2 linked regions of the Rattus norvegicus genome follow. The protein of the gene in region 1 purifies or fractionates together with the protein of each later gene. This does not show direct contact. Links are inferred from orthologs where the notes say so. Each region holds a gene or a part of one and is shown in the gene's direction. Other genes may lie near its edges.

What was found.
Region 2: the proteins of Styk1 (region 1) and Tmem259 purify together in Homo sapiens (affinity purification with mass spectrometry; 3 studies listed by BioGRID and IntAct, with this or other methods). This does not show direct contact. The link is inferred for Rattus norvegicus from reciprocal best matches to the Homo sapiens genes STYK1 and TMEM259.

The regions. Positions count from the first base shown.
Region 1 is NC_086022.1:166,824,834-166,829,440, reverse strand, and holds the start of Styk1 (tyrosine-protein kinase STYK1), read left to right. Parts: upstream 1-1,702; 5' UTR 1,703-1,800; intron 1,801-4,607. UniProt on the Homo sapiens protein: Probable tyrosine protein-kinase, which has strong transforming capabilities on a variety of cell lines. When overexpressed, it can also induce tumor cell invasion as well as metastasis in distant organs.
Region 2 is NC_086025.1:10,373,436-10,377,776, forward strand, and holds the start of Tmem259 (membralin), read left to right. Parts: upstream 1-1,468; 5' UTR 1,469-1,496; coding exon 1,497-1,718; intron 1,719-4,341. UniProt on the Homo sapiens protein: May have a role in the ERAD pathway required for clearance of misfolded proteins in the endoplasmic reticulum (ER). Promotes survival of motor neurons, probably by protecting against ER stress.

The DNA.
Region 1 (4,607 bases):
TTCCAGTTTCCTAACTCCTAGGTTACCCAACAAACCTCTCCCAAAAATAAACTAGGATTCGGGTGCAGCTGAGTGGTAAAGGACTTCCTAGTCTAAGTGAGCTCCTGGATTTGATCTATGACTGAAAAAGGTGAAAGGGCTCCACCTGTCAGTGCCTTGCTAGCTTTGAAGGTGGAAGGAAAAGTTATCGAGTTAATCTGTCTGGTAGCAAGTCCTCAGCTCTGAGAAAGCCCAAACAGAGTTGAAGCTAATCCAGCAATGGTGCCCCACTGTGGATAATGACGATGGTAGGCAGGAGTTTGGACCAAACCAAGGAGTCTGGGAAACGTCTTAGATGTTGGAAAACCATGGAAACCAATCTTTCCCAAGATTCTCCATATACATTCCATAGAGGAATATATACAGTCATTTTAGTACAAGGGGACCTTTGTCGAGCTTCCAGCAGGCAGAGCTGCGGGACATTATCTGTGTTAGCCAAGCAACTGCATTTGTGTAATTTGTTAAATCGGCAATAGAAAACTAACATATGACCTGAGCTACCAGAATTTAAAGCTAACATAAATCACATGTGGACGTTTACTCATGACCAACACTCTCTGGGCTACACCAAACCAGTGTTAACACAAGGTCACGCTAAGGGCAACAGCCCACATTTACTTCCTTGTTTCTTCAGCTGATCATACAATACCTGTTTTTTTTCCCCTTACAAAATTTTTCCTTTATGACCCCAAGAATCCTCAGTATGGTAAGAGACTCATAAACTACCAACATATCTACTCCTATCTGGGTCCCACAGTTTCATTACCTGGCTTCAGTTTCCTCAGTATCCTGGGAAATTGCTTAAGGTGCCAGGCACCACTGCAGTGATTCCGGATCTGACCACAGCTCCATCAGAGCGTCTCTGCTGATCTCTTATTGCCGGGGAAGCCGTTCATGGAAAGCTTCTGACATGTCAAGGCGTTATCTTCTCTTTGAGGTCTCCGTGCTTCCAGATAAAGTGAGAAGAATCGCTTGACTCACTTCATGTTAAATGTCTTTGAAACGGTTTCATAGCAGTGTGTCTCGGGATTAAACACTTTTTAGGTTTTAAAAATGTCCTTTTGATGAAACAACTCTACCACTTGAATTATAATTCCCATCTAAGGTTCAATTGTACATCAAGAGGGCTTAGACAAAGGAGTGTATGATACCTCCCCTTCCCCACACACCTTTCCCCAGGAGAAAGGAGGCTCCAGAACATGTTTCTAAAGCAAGCTTTGTACTAAATATTTGATGACGTACTTCTAGGACTTTATTTTGCATTTATTACTCTTAGGTTTCTCCGTGTTGTGTTGGTGGTTCTTTTGTCTTTGTAGTATACTGTGCCTGGAGTTTTGACAATTTCGAATTCCCAGGAAAACGGCTGATACAGGGTCTACCAGACGGTGGCGCTGTTGGCCTGCACCATGGCTCCGAGCTGCCCTGAAGAGACTTTTGCACAGTTCATTCACCTGGCAATCGCAATCGAAAATGAGCGCGTCGCTTGGCAACAAGTCCAAGTTTTACAGTTTCGGACGAGGTTTCCTGCTGGCTGCTATGTGGTGAGTTCCGGAAACCTCAGCGCCCGCAGATTTCCCTTTGTGGGGCGCCCGCCCCAACTTCATCCTCTGAGGGCAGCCACGCCCCACTAGGCGAAGCTGAGACTGGAAAGCCTAAAGCCTTTCCCTGAGGCTGGCACACCTTGCTGTGCCTCACCTGCCTCTTCCAGTCCCCTGAATGGCCAGCTCCACCTGAAACCAGAGTGACCTGAGGAGGAACAAGGTACCAGCCTGCTTCTTAGGTCAGAGGGAGGGTGAGCCACAGGGGTGAATCTAGGTGGTTTGAAGTTTGGGGAGAAGAATGGAAAGACTAGGGGTGGAATGGCCAGGCTGGCTGGCTGTATGAGAACCGAGGTGCATGATCTTTATTTCTTTGGAGCAAGTGTCTTGTGGCTTTTGATTTCTGTCTTTTTTATTACATGAAAACGTCATTTTTGGCAAGGAGAACAGAAGATGAGATTCTTGGAGAAGGAACATCCAGAACCTAGAGAGTATATAAAGAATGAGGGCCCATTACTTAACTGGGGGTCTGTAGCCCCTCAAATGGGTACCTTGGGTTTAGTACACTCAGCCTGGTAATTAGGCATTCTGGTTCCAGTTACCGTACAAGGCTGCGGATTCTCTATTCTAAATGAGATAATATTTGTATTATCTTATATTTCAAAATTACATGTTGTCCTTTTTTGAGCCAAATCTATCGTCTTTTTATTCTTCTCTTTTTTCTTTCAGTTCCTCAGTCCTTCTCTTTTCTCTTCTTTTCTCTTCTCTTCCCCTCCCCCACCTCTCTCTCTCTCTCTCTCTCTCATTCTGTCTCTCTCTCTCCTCTCTTTCCTGTATTACTTCCTTCTGTAAAGAGTCTTCTCCCATGTGAGTTTCTTCTGTGTATGAGGCTATGCCTTCCCCCCATTGCTTACTAAAAGCCATCAGTGGATGTAGAAAAAAAAAGCCAGGGGCTGCTGGTTTACTGTGGTGGACCTGGGTGGTCACTGGACTTTGCTAACTGCCTGATTTATCACCTTGTCACATTCAGCTTTTCCACTCACAGCCCCTAGAGACTGATCCTTTTTCTGAGTCATCCCAAAGTATTTGTGCTATTTCAAATTATAATCTACTCCCCACCCCCTTGCTTCATTATTGGCACTTAAGAGTAGGATCAATCAGGGTTTGCACAACCAAACCTTTAGTTTCAAGTTGTAGAAACGGCAAGTGCTAAGTACATATGTCTTCAGGACTGTTGCTCCTGCGCTCCATGGGAAGGGTTTATTCTGGGCCTTTTACTGGGTTTGATAGATGGCTGTCTTTATATTGTAATGCCTCCCCCCATGGGCTGGAGAGATGGCTCAGCCATTCAAGGCTAGGCTCACAACCAAAAATATAATGCCTCTGCCCCCTACATTTGTCTGCCTTTGCCTTTCATTTTTTTTTTTTGTAAGTAGAGCAGTTATATTAGGCTTAGAACAATCCTATTTACCTTTTAAAAGATTCTGTCTCTAAATGTCAAATGTGGGCATAGAAGGTGCAATATCAAATACGCATGGAGGCAGGGGGGGAGTCACAATTTAACCCCTGACAATAGTCAGGACCTCTTGTCTCCTGCTGAGTCCTCTTCCCACCTTCTGCACCACTCCCTGTGCTCTCAACATGTTCTGAAGTTGCACGGTCTGTGATTTTACACTTCTCTTCTGTTACACCACGAGCTCTCACCTGTGCTGCAGCTGCTGTAACCAATGAACACACACACACATACACATACACACACACACTATATATATATATATATGTATATATGTACATATATATATATATATATATAACCAAAACTGGTGGCATAAAACACAGTCAAATAAGAGCAGGATGATCTGTTTCTCTTTTCCTGGAGACTCTAAAGGAAAATCAGTTCCCTGTTTTGCTTGTTTCTAGAGTCTCTGGCATATTTCTGAGTCGATGCCCTTTTGTCCACCTTCATACCCCACACTGCCTGGGTTTATTTATTTTTTTCAGTCCTTCACACTGATGCTTTGTCCCCTTCTTGACCATTTAAGGGTATTTGTGACACACCAGACTCACTCTTTCTCTTTATTTGATTAATCCCATCTGCACCATCTGCAATGTTAATTTTAATACTAATAAAATCAACCTATTAATAGGTTCCAGAGATTTGGACATTGTGGGAAGAGGGAGTAATGTTTCATCTTTTTTTTCTTCTCATTGTTGGAGAGTGAACTCAGGGTCCTGTTACCACTATATCCTCAGATCTCTCTCTCTCTCTCTCTCTCTCTCTCTCTCTCTCTCTCTCTCTCTTCCCCCATACACATCTTTTCTTTTACTAACTTTTACATTATGTTTGTGTCTGTGTTAGTTGTATATATGTAGACACATACACCATTCCACATAAGTGCAGCCAAGAGGCATTGATCCTGCAGAAATGGAGTTGGGGGCATCTGTGGACCACTGGAGTCAGGTGTTGGGAACTGAACTGGTGTCCTCTCCAAAAGCAGTGAGCCCTCTTAACCACTGAGCCATCTCTTCAGCCCAATCTTAGCCATTTTTTGTTTTCTACTTTTCAACAGGGTTGTGGTTGTCCAACCTGGCTCTGAACTGACTCTGTGCTTCAGTCAGGTCTTGAACCTTCTATTTTCATGCCTCGACTTTGAGAGTCACTGTTAGTATCCACTTTTTACTCAGAGGTCAATGTTTTGCTTGCTATGTATAGCAAGGTAGTTTAAATACTTTTTATAGAGAAACACACCAGCTTGCTCAAAGATAGAATGAAAAAAAAATGTGTGTTCACCAGCAGCAATTGGGTACCATGATAGTTTCTGTACAAAACTGTTTAAAGAAACTCCTTGGGATGGTGAAATGGATTAGTAAGATACTTGTTACATAGCCCAACAACCTAAGATGAACCCCCAAATCCATTAAAAGTGGAAGGAGAGAAGCAAGTCCTCTGAGATATACACAATGAACTGTGGTATATGCATGTATTTATGCACAGACATCATCCATCTATCTATCTATCTATCTATCTAT
Region 2 (4,341 bases), on another chromosome or scaffold:
CTGTATCGTTCCAATTTTAGTATATGTGCTGCCGAAGCGAGCACGAACGTCTGTGGGTCGCCTCAGATATTTAAGCGCAGGGAATATAATTACTTTTCACATAGAGTAGTTGTGCTTTTTTGTGTATATAAAGTGATGTCTTTATACGTCAAAAGGAAGGGCCACCCTTCGTAACGACGCTGAACATAATTATCTATGCGCGTAAAAGCTTACAAATTAATTAATGTAGCCATCTGGGAGAAGCTGCACCAGCAAGGCCTTCTGGGAAGCCATATGCAAATTAGACAGATACTACGCGGCTCCGCCCCTCAGTGGTAGCCCAGCCCGATCGGCGGGGAATCCGTGCTCTTGGTGCGATGGGCAAACTGAATGCTGGTAAACTATCCCCATGGAGCTTCGCCCCTAATGAACAGTGCTAGAAAGCTCTGCCTCCCAGGGCAAGGCTGGTAATGATTCCTCAACGGGCTATGCTAATGACTCCCCACCGGACTCCGCCCCTAAGTGAGGCTGTGGCCGTAGTGAAGCCCTATGTAAATAGTAAATAGGCCTTGCTACATGCGTCTCCGCCCCCTCTGATCCTCCGCTAATAGAAAACCCGGTGTAGATAAGACTAGCAACGTCGCCCCGCCCACTAGTTGCAAATGCTTAAGCTTGTTTCTGAGACCACGCCCCATAGCTCGACCGCCGCGAACCTGGTTCCCTACACAAACGAAACGGATTGTACGCGACACTGCCTCAGTGCCTAAGCTCAATGCTTATATATTTGGTTGTGAGCCTAACCTTTAACGGCTGAGCCATCTCTCCAGCCCCTAAGCTCAATGCTTAAGATACAGCTTTGGTCTGAAGAGATGGCTAAGAGCACTGACTGCCCTTCCAGAGGTCTTGAGTTCATTTTCCAGCATCCATTATGGTGGCTCACAACCATCTGTAATGGGATCTGATGCCCTCTTCTGGTCTGAACGCAGCTACAGTGTACTCACATATATAAAAGATTTTTTTTTATTTTAGCTCAGTGCAAATGAGTCGTGACACACGACTCTGCCATAGACCATGCCACAGTGTGTGGGAGTGAATTTTTGCAAATGAACCGGGCTCCTCTCTATTCCGCTCCGTGTAGCCTCCGCAAATTGCAAGCCCAAAGCAAATGAGACCGACCAAAGCTTTAAGGAGGACTAGGAAAATAAACTGAACTCCGTGTTACTCCGGCCTTTTAGCACTGGGGCGACGGGTTTGAAGTTTGAGAGCAGTAACCAGGCTCCGCCCACTTGTGGTGCCAGCCTTCCGGCTCTGAAGCCCGGCCTCCTCGGGCGGCCGTGGCGATCCCAGCGTGCCCCGCGCACGGGTGGCGCTCTGGCCCGGCGCTCTCGCCGGCGTCGCGGGCCGGACGGACGCGAGCACAGGCGCAGGCGGCGGCGGCCGGGGGCGGCGGGGGGGATCCGGCGGCCGGGACACGGCGGGGGGGCAGCCGGCGGCCGCCGGGGTGACGCGGGGCGGTGATGTCGGAGCACGCGGCAGCCCCAGGGCCCGGGCCCAACGGCGGCGGGGGTGGCGGCGCGGCGCCCGTGCGCGGCCCGCGCGGCCCCAATCTCAACCCCAACCCGCTCATCAACGTGCGCGACCGGCTCTTCCACGCGCTCTTCTTCAAGATGGCCGTCACCTACTCACGCCTCTTCCCACCTGCTTTCCGCCGCCTCTTTGAGTTCTTCGTTCTGCTCAAGGTGACCTCTGACCCCTGACCTCTGACCCCAGCTGTCATCCACCTGCCCACCCCCTCAGCTTTACCACTTGGCCCCTGACTTGGCCTGAATACCCTGATGCCAATCTTCTCACAGATGCATCCTCTGATCCCCACTTCCTCAGCTCTCAGGCCCCGCCTCTTGCCCTTTGGCCTCTGACTCTGCCACTTGGGAACCTAGGCCCCAAATTTTTCCACCCAAGACCAGAGCCCAGTGTCTTCTTGAGGTAGTATCTTGGACTCGAGGTCCCCCCCTCCCACCTGTCACTCCCATTCTGTCCTGCACCTCCACTGAGAACAGTGTGGTCAGTTCCATCCCATCCTGAAGTTCCACTGTGGACAACCCCCTGTGCTGGAGGCCCTGTCCCGCCTGTCATTTCCATCCTAACACACCCTGAAGCTCACCTGGGGATAGTCCCCAGCCCTCCCAGTGTCCCTGCTCTTCTCTGTCACTTCTTGCCAGATCTTTTGTGGCTTTGGTGGGGTCACCTCGCTAGGGTTAGCCACAAAGTCACAGCCACATTGGCCAGGGACCTCTGTAGCCAGTACTTGCTCTGCTGTGTCTTCCTGGTGTGCTCCTGAGAGATACTGAGTTCTCAATATAACAAAGGCTACTCCAGAGGGATAGCCACCAGGCTCTGTCCCTAGGCTTCTCTCTGAGAGGAGCTGCCTGGGCCATCTGGTGTTGGGGGCATGGCATGGTGGTGGGTGTGCTGATGTTGGAGGGCATTGCCTTCTCCGGTGGCTTTGGTGAATGTGGGACTGGCTCCTAGCACTGTTTCAAAGCTGTCAGTTTGGGGGATTCATGGAAGTACTTCCAGCATGAGATTGAAACAGATGTGGGGTTGAGCCCCTCAGGCTCCAGTCCACAGTCTGCAGTCTGCCACTGCCCCTTCTTTCTCCCTGCCTTCCACACCCTGAGTCCCCAGTGGTGGCCCTCAGCTTGGGGTACCCGATACCTTGTCAGAGACAGGGTCTGTTGGATGACAGTTGACCCCCCACTTTTTCTTTTTTTTTTTTTTTGGTTCTTTTTTTCGGAGCTGGGGACCGAACCCAGGGCCTTGCGCTTCCTAGGTAAGCGCTCTACCACTGAGCTAAATCCTCAGCCCCGACCCCACACTTTTTTCTTAATCGGGACAGACAAGCCATACAGCAGCTGGTTTCTGGGGCTGCCGAGGTTTCAGGGAGCCCTTTTGCTGTGTTTCCTGCCTACCCAGCTTCCGCCCAACCTTCATAGAGGGGACGTGCCTGGCAGCCAAGGCTGCTAGGCCTGTACCGCCCTGTACCCTGTCCCCACCCCAGCCTGGGTGTCAGCTCTGACAGGCCCAGGGAAGAGCTTTTGGACTTGGTGTCCTCTCTGCTGGCTTCACAGTCTCAAAGACTGAAACTGGGCAGACACAGAATGTGGCCCCAAGCACCTGGGCTAAGCAGCTGACAAGTGGGCGACCGTGGGACACACATGGGATAGACTGTGGCACAGCATGGTGCCTTAGACCTTAGGATGTGGGCCAGCGTCAAAGGGCAAGGAGGTGAATGACACCAGCTCTAAGTGGATCTGAGCCCCAGAAGGTGCTAAGTGGAACCCTTGGGTGGGTTAAGATCTGGAGATCGTGGCTGAGCCTGGTAGTCTATACCCAGTGCAGGTTTCCTATTGGTCAGATGGACTGACAGCTCCAGATGCCAGACTGGGGTGACAATGAGACACTCCCTGCTTACAGGGTAGGAGGTACCCTGAGAACCCTAGATGGTGGCATTGAGGGTCTGCAGGAGGTGATGGCATGCAGTCCCCACCAGGCTGATGTGACCAGGTTCAGTGCCTGTGTATTTGGCACCAAGGGGCAGATGGGGGCGGAGTGCCCAAGGGCCTGAGTGGGATGCCAGGCTCTAGCTCAGTGACAGGCGAGGACTTGTGCACTGGCCAAAGTGGCCACGGTGGGAAGAGAAAGCCCAGGCTATGTCCACCCTTACAGTGGCTACCTCCCTTTGAGTCTAGATGCCCAGTAGGTGGGACAGAGCTGGTGACACAGTTCCTGGCTCTTGGTTGGACTGGCAAGCGTGGCTGCTGGGGTCTCAGCCTGGGCTGGTCAGCCGTCATTTCACCCAATACAAAAATCCATTTCCTGCCCAGGGGAGCCTCACAGTTGACAGGTGTGGGTGCCAGTGTCAAGTGTGGCTGGCTCCACACTGCAGTCTTAGTTTCAGTCCCAGGGCCTTCCCTGTCTGCTCTGCATCCCCTCGGGTCACTGCTCGGAGGGCTAGGTGCTCTGTGGGTGCAGCTCTGTCACCAGATTACAGAGGAGAGGCCTGAGGAGCAGGCACATGGGTATGGAGCCTGGTCTTTGTGCTTGCTCCTGGTCTTAGGTCACGTGTGTCCCCTACAGCGCTGCCTAACAGCAGGCAGGGAGGGCCCTACTGTGCTCGCTGTGGCTGAGCACCTTGGGATTGTGGACTGGGAGTCCAGCCTCGTCCCTGAAGAGCATAGCGACTCCCATGCACACACTGGGTGTGCAGGGCTGCTAAGGACCGTCAGGGCCCTGAAGATTCCCATCACCCTGCCAGGGGCAGGGTTATGAATCTGTAGACAGCTGGGGTCTGTGCTGGCCAGC